Linked DNA regions of Arabidopsis thaliana. The protein of the gene in region 1 interacts with the protein of each later gene in a pairwise test. Each region holds a gene or a part of one and is shown in the gene's direction. Other genes may lie near its edges.

Evidence for each region. Proteins that work in one complex are often made in the same cells at the same time.
Region 2: the proteins of LRB1 (region 1) and SVP interact in binary tests that used the Arabidopsis thaliana proteins (3 or more experiments, as listed by UniProt).

Annotation. Positions count from the first base shown.
Region 1 is NC_003071.7:18,992,108-19,001,024, forward strand, and holds LRB1 (BTB/POZ/Kelch-associated protein), read left to right. Parts: upstream 1-3,537; 5' UTR 3,538-4,003; coding exon 4,004-4,259; intron 4,260-4,384; coding exon 4,385-4,519; intron 4,520-4,656; coding exon 4,657-4,775; intron 4,776-4,875; coding exon 4,876-4,939; intron 4,940-5,166; coding exon 5,167-5,446; intron 5,447-5,524; coding exon 5,525-6,356; 3' UTR 6,357-6,565; downstream 6,566-8,917. Other genes in the region: AT2G46250 (myosin heavy chain-like protein), read left to right, coding at 96-1,094; GBF3 (G-box binding factor 3), read left to right, coding at 8,752-8,817, 8,905-8,917. UniProt on the Arabidopsis thaliana protein: May act as a substrate-specific adapter of an E3 ubiquitin-protein ligase complex (CUL3-RBX1-BTB) which mediates the ubiquitination and subsequent proteasomal degradation of target proteins.
Region 2 is NC_003071.7:9,576,257-9,584,401, forward strand, and holds SVP (K-box region and MADS-box transcription factor family protein), read left to right. Parts: upstream 1-3,390; 5' UTR 3,391-4,160; coding exon 4,161-4,342; intron 4,343-5,249; coding exon 5,250-5,328; intron 5,329-5,614; coding exon 5,615-5,679; intron 5,680-5,794; coding exon 5,795-5,894; intron 5,895-5,979; coding exon 5,980-6,021; intron 6,022-6,132; coding exon 6,133-6,174; intron 6,175-6,645; coding exon 6,646-6,687; intron 6,688-6,785; coding exon 6,786-6,937; intron 6,938-7,328; coding exon 7,329-7,347; 3' UTR 7,348-7,645; downstream 7,646-8,145. Other genes in the region: AT2G22530 (Alkaline-phosphatase-like family protein), read right to left, coding at 1-58, 144-250, 338-422, 512-679, 761-805, 881-977, 1,055-1,185. UniProt on the Arabidopsis thaliana protein: Transcription repressor that inhibit floral transition in the autonomous flowering pathway, independent of photoperiod and temperature. Acts in a dosage-dependent manner.

The DNA of each region.
Region 1 (8,917 bases):
TGCTCTTTGTTCACTCTTAAATTTAACCAAGGAATGCTTTTTAACAATCTTGTTTTGAGCTGGATTTGGTGTGTGTTGGCTTAATGTGCTTGTAGGTTGTGGTGCGTAAGCCAGCGTTTAGTCAGACAGGTTCTTCGGCGGTTAAGTCTGCAAGCTATGGTTTGGGTTCCTCTACAAAGCTTCTCAAGGTGCTAAACCGGATATGGAGTCTCGAAGAACAGAATACTGCTAATATGTCTTTGGTTAGAGCTTTAAAGATGGAGTTGGATGAATGTAGAGCCGAGATTAAGGAGGTTCAGCAACGGAAGAAGCTAAGCGATAGGCCACTGAGGAAGAAAAAAGAAGAAGAAGAGGTAAAAGATGTGTTTCGATCCATAAAGAGGGAGTTAGATGATGAGAGAAAAGTTAGAAAGGAGTCAGAGACTTTGCACCGGAAGCTAACACGAGAGCTTTGTGAAGCGAAGCATTGTTTGTCCAAAGCTTTGAAAGACCTTGAAAAGGAGACACAGGAACGTGTTGTTGTGGAAAATCTCTGCGATGAGTTTGCAAAAGCGGTGAAAGATTATGAAGATAAGGTGAGAAGAATTGGCAAAAAGTCACCGGTGAGTGATAAAGTAATTGTGCAGATTGCAGAAGTGTGGAGTGACCAGAGATTACAAATGAAGCTAGAGGAAGATGATAAAACATTTCTTCTGCGAGCTAAGGAGAAGAGTAGATCACAGTCAAGTAAAGGAAGTGGCTTGAGAGCAAAACCAGATGATTCGGTATCTATGCATCAAAGGGTTTGCCTGAAGGAACTCGAAGAAGGGCTTGAAAAGCGAACAAGAAGAGATAACAAACTGCAGCTTAAGAAGAGCTCAGGCCAAGTTCTTAATCTATCTATGTCTTCGGAAGGAGATAAGATTCATCCAGAGAGTAGTCCAAGGAACGTTGATGATCATGAGAGTCAAGAAAAGTCTAGAACTTTCTCGAAGAATCATCCGAGAAATGTGAATGTGATGATCAGGGAAGATAATCATCGTACTCTCAAGGATAAGCTGATGGAAGCTCGTGTAGAAAGTCGACGTTTACGTTCTTCTTTGAAACCAGAGTGATAATTCCGGTTCGAGCAAATAATTAACTCGTGTCTTCTCATGTATGTTGGATTAATTATTTGGTTGTGGTTAATATTAATGCTCGTTAGTCGTTAAAAAAACTAAATATTTTAATTGTCCCAGTGACAGAAACCAATTTCACATGAAAAAAGGAAAAAGCTAATTTTGTCAACAGTTCACATATATTGACATTGAACACAACTCCGGTTCGACAAAAAAAAAGAACACAACTCCGGTCAACTATTTTTGGCAGTTGTAATTAAGAACAAAAAGATGTAACTTAAAGAAGAGACAATTTAACCGATTAGTTCAAATCTTTGGTCATCAAAAATTCCACAAGTTTTAAGAAGACTGATTGGTGATTAATAAACGTTAAAAAAAAAAAAAAAGCCAAGTCAAAGATGTGTCGGTAATAGCGATTGACCAAACTCTATCTGTTTTAGAGCATCATTAATGGTAGTTTCTTAGCATAATTTTAATATAGTTTTTATGAATATTTTTATAATTGATTTTGAAAATTCTGAAGTTAAAAACTTGGTTAAGAGATTGAAATTTAGGCAATATGCAATGGTGGAATCTTAACTTGGAGTTCTTAAAAAGAAAATTTGAAAAAAAAAATAGAAACATTATAATTTTAAAAAACTTAATAGTTATTACAACTCATAAAATTTAAAACATACATGACATAAAATTTTAAACAAATATGACAAACAATTCTATTTAATACTTAAGTTATCTAAAAATTAAGATTAATTAAATTAAAATATTATATTTAAGACCTAATTTATCTAAGAATTAACTTAAAAAACATTAGATTTGGCTCTTATATAAGAGCTATTCTTAACCATTAATTGAATTATAACATTAAATTTAAGATCTACTTTATCTAAAAACTAACCTAAAAAACTATCAATAATGATGGTCTTACGAATGCCTAGATTCTCTTCAATATACAAAAAGTACGGTTTAGTTATTGTTTGGACATTTGAAATCTAACTAATTCTCTTTTTAGTCTTAATGCAATGGAATTGCAAATACTCCATAAACCATAGTGTTGCACCCTAACCGTATCTCTCTCTAAAAGAGAATCTAGTCAACAAGATTATGTTTAATCTCTAATTAATGACAATAAGATTTACTGCCAAAATAAATAAATAAATAATAATAATAAGATTTACTGCCATTTATTCTTCTATATTTTTCAATTTTTTATTTACACTTGTTCCATAATCGTCCCAAGGAGTAGACTAGGGTTGATGCTCTTTCATCTATAAAACGACTTAACACAACATGTTCTTTCACATCATCATCATAAGCCTCAACAATCCATCACCATACATATTAGATTCTCCCTCTTTCCATAGTTTATTTTTGGTTCGTTTTATTGTAAAAAGATATCAAACTCTTTTTGGGGGACATTCGTTCTTCAAGTGTAACAGAAGGAGCTCCCTTCCTCCAAAACGAAGAGGACAAGATTTGAGGAACTAAAATGCAGAATCTAAGAGTTCATGTCTTCCTCATAGAGAGTGCGCGGTGTTAAAAGCTTGAAGAAAGCACACTTTAAGGGGATTGCACGACCTCTTAGATTCTCCCTCTTTCTCTACATATCATTCTCTTCTCTTCGTTTGGATTGAAGGGAGCTCCTTTTCTTCTTCTCTTAATTAGTCTCTGTTCTTCAAAACTTGGTTTCGATCTAACTTGTTTTCTTTTTCTCTAGTGCATTTTTTTTTTCAGGTTGTCATGTTTATTTGCAGGTGTTTGTGGTTGATGCTTGCATGGAAGCAATATTAATGTTGTTTATTTACGAGAAGACGTTCGTGTGCCAATTTGAAAATATGATATTAATGGAAATACAGATTAAAACTGACAAATGTATAAATATTTCTTGTTCCTTGTTTTAATTTTAACATTAGTCGTGTGTTTGTCGTAAATACGAAGGGGACATTTCACCTAAAAAAAGAAAAAAATATATTCATCAAAACTGGTCTTGGATACGTTTTTAGTTAAAACAAGAACAATAATAAAGTTAGGTTTAACTTCGATCAGATCGAAACAAGTACACTATAATTGTTTTGGTTTGAGAAAATATACCATCGATGGTTTCAAGAAATAATAGCAGCTGGGTTGCTTGTAGTCGATACGTTAAGTCGTATCATCTCAAATGATCCCTAGTAGTACACAACATAGTCAACTGGTTTGTCATGTGTTGGCCTACGAAGAAATGTATACCGGCCGGATTTCAATTTATAAATTAGTCCTTTTTTTTTTGTCAAGTTATCATTGCATAGCCAAGTTTCACTCGGTCAAAATCTAATTAACAAAGTCTGTAAAACGTTGAAGTAATTGTATTTTATTAAAAGAAAACTCCAAATTAGACTTTGATTCCAACGAATATTTAACGACATAAAAGGCATTGCCGTTTGTTGAACGAGTTGTCTTCTTACCAAATTTGACGCTTTCCAACTAAATACACTCCTAATTTTGCCTATTACCTTTTTCCTCCTCTAATTAAGTAAATGCTAAATTTCCCCCAAATACTAAAAATCGAATCCGATAAGTCAAAATCAAAATCGTACCTACGCGATTTATGCAAAATACCGGAAAAAGAACCAAAGTGCTTATTACAATCAAAAGACCAAACCGGTTAAACAATTAGTTAGGCTGGCATTAACGAACCTCTTTGTCTTTAATTAGCCTTTATCCGTCACCGCCCTGTTACCATAACCGTTCAACGTCGACCCGCTCTTTGTTTCAGAAAAAAAAAACAGAGAAAGACTTTTTTAGTGTTTCTTTGTCATTTTCGTTCCTCAAAAAAACCTTTTCGAATTTGACCCTTATTGTTATCCTGATTCTTCTGCTCGGTTCTCGCCGGAGAGAAGACACGGAGAAGAGGGTTTTCGAAAAGGAGGATGAGAGGTTCCAATAACACCGATCTATTTGACCCTAAGACGGAGATGGATTCCAATTTCTCTCGCCATGGTTCTTCCTCCGAAGGTGATTTTGGTTTCGCTTTCAATGACAGTAACTTCTCCGATCGTTTGCTCCGGATCGAGATCTTGGGTGGGCCTTCGGATTCTAGGTCTGATGCTGAAGGATGTACGAGTATTGCCGATTGGGCTCGTCATCGCAAGAGGAGAAGAGAGGACAACAAGAAGGACAATGGTGGTACGTTTGATTCCCTATCGGTTGGAATCTCAGATTTTGTTGTTGTTTTTATGAATTGTTCTTATGGTTGGTTTAGGGCTTTTGGGTTTAAATGTTTAAGAAACTTATACGTTTTGCATTTCCAGTTGCGATTTCAGACATTGTGGCATGTGCTGAAGAACAGATTTTAACCGATAACAACCAACCTGATATGGATGATGCTCCTGGTGGTGATAATCTTGACGATGAAGGAGAGGCAATGGTTGAAGAGGCTTTATCAGGTACCGTTCTAAATTTCACATTGTCTCTCGAGTGACTGGGTTTGAATTTGTGATACTTAACAATTTTCAGAAGAGCGTTTTTTGTTGAAGTCATTTGTCTGAAACGTGATGGCTTTGTTTATTAATGGTTTTTGTAGGTGATGATGATGCATCTAGTGAGCCAAACTGGGGTATTGATTGTTCTACTGTTGTTAGAGTTAAAGAACTGCATATTAGTTCTCCTATCTTGGCCGCAAAAAGCCCCTTTTTCTACAAGGTATTAACCTTTTTTCTTCTTCTATGTTCTTATTGTTTGCTCTTGTTCATCTCGCATGTAATGCTATCTTTTGCTTCTTGTTTTCCTTACCCTGTTGTAGCTGTTTTCTAATGGAATGAGGGAATCAGAACAAAGACATGTAACCCTTAGAATTAGTGCACAAGGTACGACAATTTAAGTCAAGCTTTTAATTCATTTCTGCTATTCTCCAATCTCTTTATATTGGCTTCAATTCTCTACTAGCTCTCTGTTGGCTTCTTCTTGTTTTGGATTCTTTATGCCTCTTGTATTAACTCAGTTGCTGACTTTGATTTACATATGATATACGATATTAGCTTTAAGGGAGTCCACATTGTTGATTTCTCATGCTCTACTTTTATGTGTATTGTAGAGGAAGGTGCTTTGATGGAGCTTTTAAACTTTATGTATAGCAACTCTCTAAGTGTCACAACAGCACCCGCTTTATTAGATGTTCTTATGGCTGCTGACAAGTTTGAGGTTGCTTCCTGTATGAGGTATTGTAGTAGACTACTGCGAAATATGCCCATGACCCCTGATTCTGCTTTGCTCTATCTTGAGCTGCCCTCTAGTGTTTTAATGGCTGAAGCAGTGCAACCTCTAACCGATGCAGCAAAGCAGTTCCTTGCCTCGCGCTACAAGGATATTACCAAGTAAGACTCTCCAGTGGTTTGAAATGCATTTACTCTAGTGTTGTATAATTCTTGTTCATGTGTTACCATCTTGTACAGGTTTCATGATGAGGTTATGGCCTTACCATTGGCTGGAATAGAGGCGATACTATCGAGCGATGATCTCCAAATTGCTTCTGAGGATGCTGTTTATGATTTTGTCTTGAAATGGGCAAGGGGACAGTATAGTTCATTGGAAGATCGTAGAGAGATTCTGGGTTCACGCCTTGCACTCTACATCCGCTTCCCATACATGACGTGTCGAAAGCTGAAAAAGGTACTAACGTGCAGTGATTTTGAGCATGAAGTAGCATCAAAGCAAGTATTAGAAGCGCTCTTCTTCAAAGCAGAAGCCCCACACAGGCAACGCATCCTCGCAGCTGAAGGATCGGACTCCATGAACCGCCGTTTCATAGAGAGGGCTTACAAATACAGACCCGTAAAAGTGGTGGAGTTTGAGCTTCCTCGCCCGCAATGTGTAGTGTACCTGGACTTGAAGCGAGAGGAATGCGCAGGACTATTCCCTTCAGGAAGAGTCTATTCTCAGGCTTTCCACTTAGGAGGTCAAGGTTTCTTCCTCTCAGCACACTGCAACATGGACCAGCAAAGCTCGTTCCACTGCTTTGGGCTATTCCTCGGAATGCAAGAGAAAGGGGCTGTGAGTTTTGGTGTGGACTACGAATTTGCGGCAAGAGATAAAAGTACAAAGGAAGAATACGTAAGCAAATACAAAGGAAACTACACATTCACAGGGGGGAAAGCGGTTGGTTACAGAAACCTTTTCGGGATTCCATGGACTTCGTTCATAGCCGAGGACAGTCAACATTTCATCAATGGCATTCTCCATCTCAGAGCCGAGCTCACCATTAAACGTTCCTCAGACCTGCACTGACTGTTTTCTTCTCTCTCTCTCTCTATGTCGTCACATTTAAGTTGTATAATCTCGTTATGTAGCAGCTCTAACCACGAGTGTCCTTTGTACAATAATTGCCTAAGGAGCAAAAGTATGGCTTAAAGAGTACCTCATTCTGTAAATTCTTTGATTGGATTTTTTTACTTTTCTATATGGGTCTTTATAAATAGTCCAAGATAGAATTTGGGCCTAGCTTTTGAGGTTAGTCTTAAAATATGGGCTCAAGGCCTACTACGATGCGTAATGATGAAGCTAAATTGCCTATAGTGTGAACATTAGGCTTTTATATTCAAAGTTCAAACAATGCGGCTATAGCAATGGTACATCGAGGAAATAGAATGAAGTGACAAGGATAATTTAGGAAATGAGGATAGAGGAATTGAGTCCTCGTCACATGGGGCCCACATAAATGCGTAAGTAAGACTATCCGCTTACCAGACGGACACGTCATTTTGTCGGGACACGTTTGAGCCGTTGGATGATTAATCTCCTTTTCTGACTTATCGACCCCACTTTTTTTTTCCACTACAAAATATTGATGGCCACGTCAGATGATTCGAAGTTATATAAAACACACGTTTTTATTGCAGCTTAACCGTCGATTTTTTTCTAATCGAGAAACCGAGATCAACGGTCTATATTCAAAGCTGATGTGGTCTGTACCTTTGCTTACGTCACCGAAAACCTAAGTTGAATAATACTAGTACTAGTATTATGCTCTCTGATTTCTTTCTACAGTACACAAAATAAAAATAAACAAAAATAGAGAGCCCAGACAATATTTACTACATCACCCAATGGATAACCGACACGTAGATACATCCATGTGAGTCGCATTTTGTAATGTAGGGACCACTTCGTGGATAGAAGCTCTTTTACGCCAACGCAAAAAAAAAAAGCCTCGTTGGCCCTTTAGCCTCTAAATGCCAATAACTATCTACTGGCGTGGCTTAGTTTATACCGTTGGATCATTTGTTTATCCCAGCCGTTGGATTCGAAGCAGTTGTCGGGCTTGTGGGCCTTTTCTTTATTGTTTTGTTTTCATAATAATGAAAGAAAATAAACTAAAAAAGTATTTTTTATTTTTCCTTTTATGGTGATTCCATGATGGCAAAAACGTGGCCATACACGTGGGTCGTCTCGTGGCACCTTTGGAAGATACGAATCGGTAGTGAATAATGGACGGTTCGGATCTTTAGTTTTGTCGACAGAAGTGCTCTCCGCGTCGGAGATACTACTAGTCAAAGGTCTTTTCTTCCTTCGTATTTTACCATAATGTCCCTTCTTTCTAATCAAATTTTTATCATGTATCCAAATTATTCGAAGCAATATTCTATATAATAAACAAATATGCCCATCGGTAAGTAGCAAAAGTTAAATTGTGTTTATTTTCATGCCATACAAAAATAATGATTCTGAAAATTCGTTGGAAAGATTGTTTAGTTTTCTTATTTTTATGTTGCACATGACTTCACTGACGTGTGAATGTGATGACGGATTTTGAAGAGGATTATACACTATGGTAAATATCGACTATAAAAATAATCTAAACATGAGGGAAGCGTAGAGCGACTAGAAATCGAACACGTGTACGGTAGAGATGACATAAGAAATGGCTGGCACTAAACTCGATGAGCCAACTCATCAAACACCACCGTAGTTTACGCTGTTATATATTCTCATGACACGTGTCTGATGACGTGGTCATCGTCTTGGCGCTCCGTTTTTTTTCTCTCTCTCTCGCGTCTCCCTTCCCTCAAAAAAAAAAACTGAACTCTTTTTCGCTCTGGTTTTTTTAGAGAGAGAGAAAGATGAAAATGCGTTTAATTGCTGTTTAGGTTTCGAATTCGCGATTTAAATTTCTGGGTTTCTCTCTGTTTAAGCTTCTTCTTCTTCATCTTCTGCTTACGTTTCTTCTTCAAGGAGCTTTCGGATTCTTGTAGGTATTGCGTAACTTAAATGGTTCAAATAGAGATTGTTTGGTCGAATAGTTTTGTGATTTGGTTTCTCTATCATTCATTGATCTTCTAAGTTTTGTGAAAATTTTGCCATTTTTGATCGTTTGCTTTTGCATTTACTTGAATTGAATGAAAAATTATAAGTTTTGAATTTGAACAAAAACAGCTAAAGCGTAGAGAAGAACAGAGTTTCTTTTTTTGGGTGCATGTGATTGTTTCAGGGGTAGAATTGTCCAGTAGTGTCTACTTTGTTGATTCCTTTTGTCTTCCTGAAAGTTTTCTGAACATAGGATGTGAGAGAGAAATACTATTTTACCCTTCTCTGTCTCTATATTTCTCACACAACAACACCCATCCCCATGATTTTGCAGAAAGAGTCATTGTTCTCTTGAGTGGGAAACCTTGAAACCATTCCTATGGGAAATAGCAGCGAGGAACCAAAGCCTCCTACCAAATCAGATAAACCATCTTCACCCCCGGTGGTATGTTGAACAGTTTCAAACCATAATTCCAAAGTCAATTTAGTTTTTCTTAAATTCCTTATGCGTTGACTTGACTCTTGTTGATAGGATCAAACAAATG
Region 2 (8,145 bases), 9.4 Mb from region 1:
TTAGCTCATCGGGCAAGTGTCGAGAAACATTTCTGTCTACCTGTACTGTATCTTTGACCTGTCCAAAAAAACATTTTTTGTTCAGATGACCATGATGTCGATAAGAAAAGCAATCAACAAAACCAAACATCACATTAACTCACAAAGAAACTGCTAACACCGTCATGTCTCATAAATAGCCCTGGAAATAACTTGAGCCACGTCTCATCACCGAGCATCACCATTTTCCAACCAATCCTGAAAAACTGACCTGGTAAATTTGGACCAATGTCACATAGCTTTTCTTTCAATGTTTGCAAGCATGAAAAATTTCTCATTGTTGAAAACTAATAGTTACCAAGAATATTATCATCTAAGAGAGCTTGTGTGTTAAAATTAAAAGCAACATCCAAGAAACCACCAATTGCCCCAGAAACCATTGCCTGAAAAAAACAATGAATTCTATCAACTAAGCAAGCAAATAAATTCATTTAGACTGTGATCATCCACTTAATCACAACTATACACACACCTTTAACCTCGGCATGGTAACAGTTGGAGGAGCTGCTTTAGCATGGTAACCAATAGCATCTCCATTAGCTAACAGTGACTGAGTATAAGGCATAGACTCTTTCAAAACCTTCTCTGGAGGTTTACCATCTTTCCCAAGAACGAACTCCGCAGGTAGCCCATCAATAACCTAAACTAGCATCGCTTTAACATCCTCAAAAACACTCTCTCACAAAGATCAAAATCAAAATTTTAACAAAGTGCAACATACCATTAAAATCAGTCGATCATATTTGGAAGAGATTCCAGATAACTCCTACAAATTCACCACTATCAAACTCAAAAGGGAACTTTACACATTTGTTTTTGGATTCACAAAAGAGACAAATACCTGGTACAGCAATCTCAGTTTCTCTGGATGATGAAGCTCCGATTCGTTCGAAATCAGAGAAGAATCACAGAATGGATCTCGATAGCTCTCCGAGCCACTGCCATTTCAAATAAACAAATCAATAGAGCGTAGATTCTTCTTCTTCGACTTCAAATGTTATTGATTTAGTAGTACCTGACGCCGGAGAGAGTCGGCTTGACGGGGAAGAAACCGAATACGAAAATGGAGAGGCCAATAATCTGAAGTAATATTCCGGCCACCGTAAATATCGTCAGTCTCGTACAAGTCATCGCCGCCGTCGTCATTTTCAGGATCCGGCGAGAAACTGAACCAAAATAATACTTATTTTACTCGTAAGGAAAATTTGGGCCTAATAAAAGCCCAATAATAATAAAAAGCCCATTAGGGACTCCGCTTTATGATAACGGTGACTGTAGTTTCCTTGATGTGTCAGAGAGAGTGTGTAGTGTAGGGACTGTGTAGAAAGAAAGAAGCCTAAAATGGCTAAAAGGTTAGGTGCAATGTTTCATTAGAGAGGCTTGGAACTGTTAAGGGAAAGGTCACGAGTCGTCTACTCATAAAAACTCTGACACTTTGACCAATCAAAACTCAAAGACCTCACCAGTTGTGTCACGTGCGCCTCTAAACACTATTCAATTTCAAATATAAATGATTCATGCGGTTCCAAACGCCAATTGATGGATGTTCTACCAAATTTAATCTACTTTTACCAAACCATGACAAATATGAATAAACATTACTTGATAATAATTTTGTGAGTGAACAAACTTTTTTTTTTTCGAAACCAAACCAAGCTGAAAAAAACTCAACGATTTTCTTTGTTTAAAATACGTTAGAAAGGAATATGTATTATGCCGAAATAAGTAATATCGATCAGGCCACCTCTCTTATAGTTATTCTCCTAGCAACTTTAACCACTAGAAGGTTTTGTTTTCTAGTGTTTTCTAATATACGTCATCAAAATTTTCAAAAAATACTACATTTTTGTTTTAAAAACTTCCATAATTCCATTACTCGTAGAACACAAACGCAAACCATATTAATATTTTGTTGTCAACAAAAATTTCAAATTATAATTCAACTATATTTGCTTGATTACCCAATTAGATAGAAAAGAGTTAAAGAAGAAAAGAAAAGAGTTTACAGTAAATTAACGCAAACCATAATTATATTTAACACCGTATTAATCACATCAACCATATGACTTTTTTACCGTTTGCAACTTCATAATTCATATAGTATCATAATAAATTCGCAATAATACAACACAAGAGTTTCGTCGGAAGAGTAAATAATACTCAAATAGGGGGTGAGTGATACGAGCCACATGTATTCTTGAAGGGTAGATTATTGCAAACTTGGAGTAATAAAGAGAAGAAGAATGGGTTTGTAGTAGTTGCGTGGAGTATCTTTATTTGGGTAAAACTTTAATTTAGAAATAAAATTCTGTACGGACAATGGATCGTGTCCCAATCAGATTTCTTGTGGCTGCTTCGGGTCTGGTTTTGGGTCCCTTTGAAAAATTTTAGTGGTCGACACTTTTTATTTTACTCTGGCTCGTGCCTCGAGGGTCCCTCTATTCACTGTTTCTTCGTATGAAGGTATGCTTAAACATTATTTTATTTTTAAAAACCCTTTAATTTTATTTTCTTACCTTTAATCACGGTTTTGTAAATTGCTTTTTAGTCTATGGAATGATGATTGTGGCGATTGAAATCATATGTTTGGTTCTGTTGTTGACGTTGGTGAAGTATATGTGATTTGTAATGTTGAGCTTATGTATTAAAATGTTAAATGATAAATAACCTCGTAAGAAAGTGATTTCATTTAAATTTTATTTTGAGTTACATATTCAATTGGTTTTATAAAAAAATACTTCAGTGATGATTGATACCCCCATTGTGTGTGTAATTGTTACTGGGATTGAACAAAATTTATTTGTGCATGACAAACTTTCCAAATTAGTGCATAGATTGTAATTGTATAATGGACTACATGTATCTGAGTAGATATGGTTCATTAGGTTACAAACCTCTTTTTTTAAGGACACAATTTTTCGACAAGTTATATGCCACATGATTGACTACTAAATTTTCAAAAATTATTGCACTAATGTCTTTGAAATTAACAAATTATTTTGTCATTTCCGAGTTGGATTCTTACAAACCAAGGCCGAACTCACAAACTTATTTCTTTCAGTAAAAACAAAACATTGTCCTCAGAAAAATTCTGAAATGTCATCTTCCCAAATGTTTTTACATAAATAAAAATAATATACAGTTGATATTATTTTGTTCTTTCTGAATTTTGTTATGAGGTACCATTACCATATAGTACGTAGATTTACAAAAATGAAAATACGTTGTAGCCCTTGATGTTCTTCAGGTCTTCTAGTTAGTTTTTGCAGTAAATACCAACCAATTAGTTACAAGGAGTATAAGTGAACAAAGTGAGACAACTCATTTTATGCTTCCCTATAAAAAGAAATTCCCCACTGACCCAAACACACACTTCTCTTCTCTCTCTCATCTCATTGGAGACTTATAAATCCTATTACCTCACCATATCCAATAACCACCACACACAGACCAATATCCAAAAAAAAAACTAAAACTAAAAATATAATATATATCGTTTTCTTTCCAAAAATAATCATTTAAGAAACCCCATCATCTTGATAGTATTATAAAATTAATAAACCTCTCCCTGAAAATATCTCATCCTTCACCAATCAAAACCTTCTCATGTCTTCTTCTCTCCTCGACCTTTGAGGTGGAAAATTAAATATATTCCCTTAGCTTTTTTTCTCCTTTAGTTTTCTTCTTCTTCTTGAGTTTTTTTTCTTTTGATCCTCTCTAATTTCCTTGTTGATTCATCGACTAGATCTAATTCTTCTCACAAAAGACTGAGTGTGTTCTTTCTTTCAAATCTTTCAAAAACTAGGGTTTTTACTGTCTTGAAATCATATTTATTCTTCTAAATTTAGCAAAAAGAACACGATTTACTTTCCATTTCAGTCGTCTTGTCACTCTCTCTCTCTTCTTTAAAGTCTCCCTTTTTAGCAAAAATTCTCTCTCTCACAAAATTTATTTCCTCTGGCTTCTTCTTCCTCCTCCTCCATCTCTTCTCTTTACTCTCTCTTTAATCATCTCTCATTCTTGAATCTTGATCCATCAAAATCAATCCCGTTCTCGAAAGATCCATTAAAATCAAAACCTAAGCTCTCTCTCTTGCTTCTAGGGTTTTTTTGTTCGTTGTGATGGCGAGAGAAAAGATTCAGATCAGGAAGATCGACAACGCAACGGCGAGACAAGTGACGTTTTCGAAACGAAGAAGAGGGCTTTTCAAGAAAGCTGAAGAACTCTCCGTTCTCTGCGACGCCGATGTCGCTCTCATCATCTTCTCTTCCACCGGAAAACTGTTCGAGTTCTGTAGCTCCAGGTCTTTCTTTCTCTCTCTAACTTCCCTCTCTATAGATTTCTCATAACTCATCGAAGGAATCTTGTCTAGATCCAGACAAAAAACTTTAAAGAGTTTTTAGATGTATATCTGATACATAGGAGTTTACTGTATCAATCTTTATAGGACCACTAACTATTTATATAATTAAAATAGTTGTTAGAAACATTAATCATGACCATAAATGACATATATAAAGTGTATAGTAAAACTCTGTATTTAGATAAATTAAGGTATCTAACTACGGTAATATTCAAAAAGATGTAAATCTGGATATGCATATATGTATATTATTAGTATATAAATACATGCTCTATAGTAGGTATTTGTGTCAACCATGTATAAATCTATGTATATAGATATTGTGGTATGATATGTTTAAGCCGTCAATGTCATATTTATATAGAAATATGTGGGTACCATAACATGAGGAAGTATCTATATGTGTGGATGTATAAAGCTTTCCCTTTGAAGAAGTAATCTAAAAATAATATATATATATATATGTATATGTATAGATATGTTGGAATCTTTATTAGTGTTGGGAAAAGTCATTTAGAGAGATATTATTGATATTAGGGATCTAAAATGACTTATCGTATTACAGAGATACGATTTTGGATTTTTGACCCACTAGTTATCAGCTCAGTTCCTATCTTCGGGGACATACACACTTTCACAGATAATTGTGTATATATGTAACTGAAAACGATAGTGTTAACATGAAATAATGTACATGTTTGGGATTAAATGTGTTTTGTGGATTTGGTTTGCATCTTTTGATTTTAGATTTTGGTATATTGTCGGTGTTTACATATGCACATTGTTAATATCAACAGTATAGTTGTTTATAATAAGTTATTTATTGGAATGTGTTTATATTATGAAGCATGAAGGAAGTCCTAGAGAGGCATAACTTGCAGTCAAAGAACTTGGAGAAGCTTGATCAGCCATCTCTTGAGTTACAGGTTAGCTACATTCTCGAAACGACCACACATTTTCTTTCCCGATTTCTGTAACTTGCAAAATCGAGTATTACTCCGTTGAATTACCAATATGTTTTAGATTGTTGTATTTATTGACCAAGAATCTCTTAAAACTTTGTATTAATAGGTACAAAACTTTATATTATTGCATATGATTAATTAGACTCGATCCATGTAGTAGTCATGTAGAGTAGTCCTGTGTAGAGAGTTGAGCTTTAGATCATTATGGATATGATTAAGAGCTTAAATCAATGTTTTATTCTGTTAGCTGGTTGAGAACAGTGATCACGCCCGAATGAGTAAAGAAATTGCGGACAAGAGCCACCGACTAAGGTACGTTATATATGTATATTCTATGACTTTTGAACTAACTATCATTTTCTAACTAATTTTTTTTTTGATCAACCACTATCATTTTCTAACTGTGTGTTTACATGATCATATATAGGCAAATGAGAGGAGAGGAACTTCAAGGACTTGACATTGAAGAGCTTCAGCAGCTAGAGAAGGCCCTTGAAACTGGTTTGACGCGTGTGATTGAAACAAAGGTTGTTAAGAAAATTACTTGATACCATGTATAAGTTTCTCTAAGCTTACGAGTATGCAATTTACTAATACGAGATGTGTTTGCAGAGTGACAAGATTATGAGTGAGATCAGCGAACTTCAGAAAAAGGTAATAATTAACCAAAATAACGTTTATTCTTTACTTGATGATTTCAATATTAATTTTGGCAGTTTCAAGATCCAAAATTTTCATCTTCTTCTCTTTTTTTTTGGTGTTCAGGGAATGCAATTGATGGATGAGAACAAGCGGTTGAGGCAGCAAGTATGTGTCTTACCCTCTCTGTTGATAACAAATCCCTTTCTTTTGTCTACCATTAACGTACACACCCCTAAATTTAATCCCCAGTTGTCTACAACACATATGTTTGATCATACTGTGAGATAAATGAATAAACCAAGTGATATAGCGCGATTTAAAAATGTCTTTAAAACTAAAGGTAACCATGTAGCTAGTTAGTCTCTAGGGTCCTAGAGGTCTACGAGTGTGCATGCATGGATTTGGTGCGTTTTTTCTTTTTCATCTTCATTTTGTTTTTTGAAACAGGGAACCATAAACGAATATATATCTAATTCTTGTTTGATATATAGTTTGGTCGAGGCTTCATGTCAAGATTTGCTCATTCGTAGTTAGTTGATCTCTAGAGAAATTCAAAACACATGGTGCCACTAAAAACACAAAATGCAAATACTTAGCTAGAGAACTTAATGATATGTTTTGTCTTGATTTTTGCAGGGAACGCAACTAACGGAAGAGAACGAGCGACTTGGCATGCAAGTACGTGGATATATATATAGTCTTGATTATTTTGAATTTTGTATGTTTGTTATCAGTTTAATGTTAAATTTGGAATATTTTTTTTTGGTTACGTGTAGATATGTAACAATGTGCATGCACACGGTGGTGCTGAATCGGAGAACGCTGCTGTGTACGAGGAAGGACAGTCGTCGGAGTCTATTACTAACGCCGGAAACTCTACCGGAGCGCCTGTTGACTCCGAGAGCTCCGACACTTCCCTTAGGCTCGGGTAACCAATTAATCACCCTTTCTTTTTACATTCTTTTGAGTTGATAGCTTTACATGATTTTTTTTTTGTTTTTAAATTGAGACAAAGAATATAAAAATATATACTTTAAACGACCATATACATGTATGTTGTCCATATTTATTGGCATTGCAAGATATGGATGACACAGAATCGTAAATAAATTTGGTTTATTTGTTGTATATTTGTAATTCTAACAAATAACATGTTATTTTGTATATTTTACATGATATCATGCTATTTGTTAAAATTACCTGTCATAAAAAACACCACTTATTTATGGTTTGTTTTTTGAAAATTCTGGCACAAATCTAATCATCTACAAAATCACTCTAAAAAATAAGTTATTGATTTAATGTATGGTGTTGTGCAGCTTACCGTATGGTGGTTAGAGATGGAACAATTCAAAGAAGTTGATGGAGTGAGGAGAGTAATGTAAATCTTTTTAACTCGGTAGTAACAAGAGACAATGTCTAAGTAGTGAATTCTCAAATGTTTGTGTAAGTTTCTGCCTATGGAAGAGGCTTTCATTTTTATGATTTTCACTATGTATGATCTCTCTTCACTGCATTTCTGGTTAGTAACGCTTGTCACCGATAAACTTTCTCGTTATGGAAAGTTAGAATATAAAATATTGTAGAATTTTGATTATCGATATACTCTTGGTTAGGGATCAAAAATATATTTTAGTGATGCCTCAAATAACTAATAATCATCATAGGACTCAGTCTCATTAGAAATTTTAGTGTAACAAAAGTGTGATTCGAATTCATCTTGTTGTTTTGTTGAATTTGTTGCAAAGTTTTACAAGTTTTCTCAGACCAGAGATTTCAAGTGTCTTCATTGGTGATGATTCTGGTGAATTGATGATCTTACTTGTGTGTGTGACACTTGCAATGTGTCTTGTTTGAGAAACACATTTGTAGTTTAGTTGGAGCTGTGCGGTTGGATGAGACTGAGTTCTATGATAATAAATTAGAAGCAAAGTTTCAAACCATATTCATACGATTCATTATGTTAGCAACAAGAAATATGAATATGGTTTGAAACTTTGCTTCTAATTCATCATTCGTTACACAACGTCCAAAATCTAAAAAAGTTTCAGATTTTCTCAAAATTCAGTAAATGGGCCTCTATATAATGAGGTTTGACGTTTTAGAGATACTTTGCACAAGAAAGAAGGTTCTGGT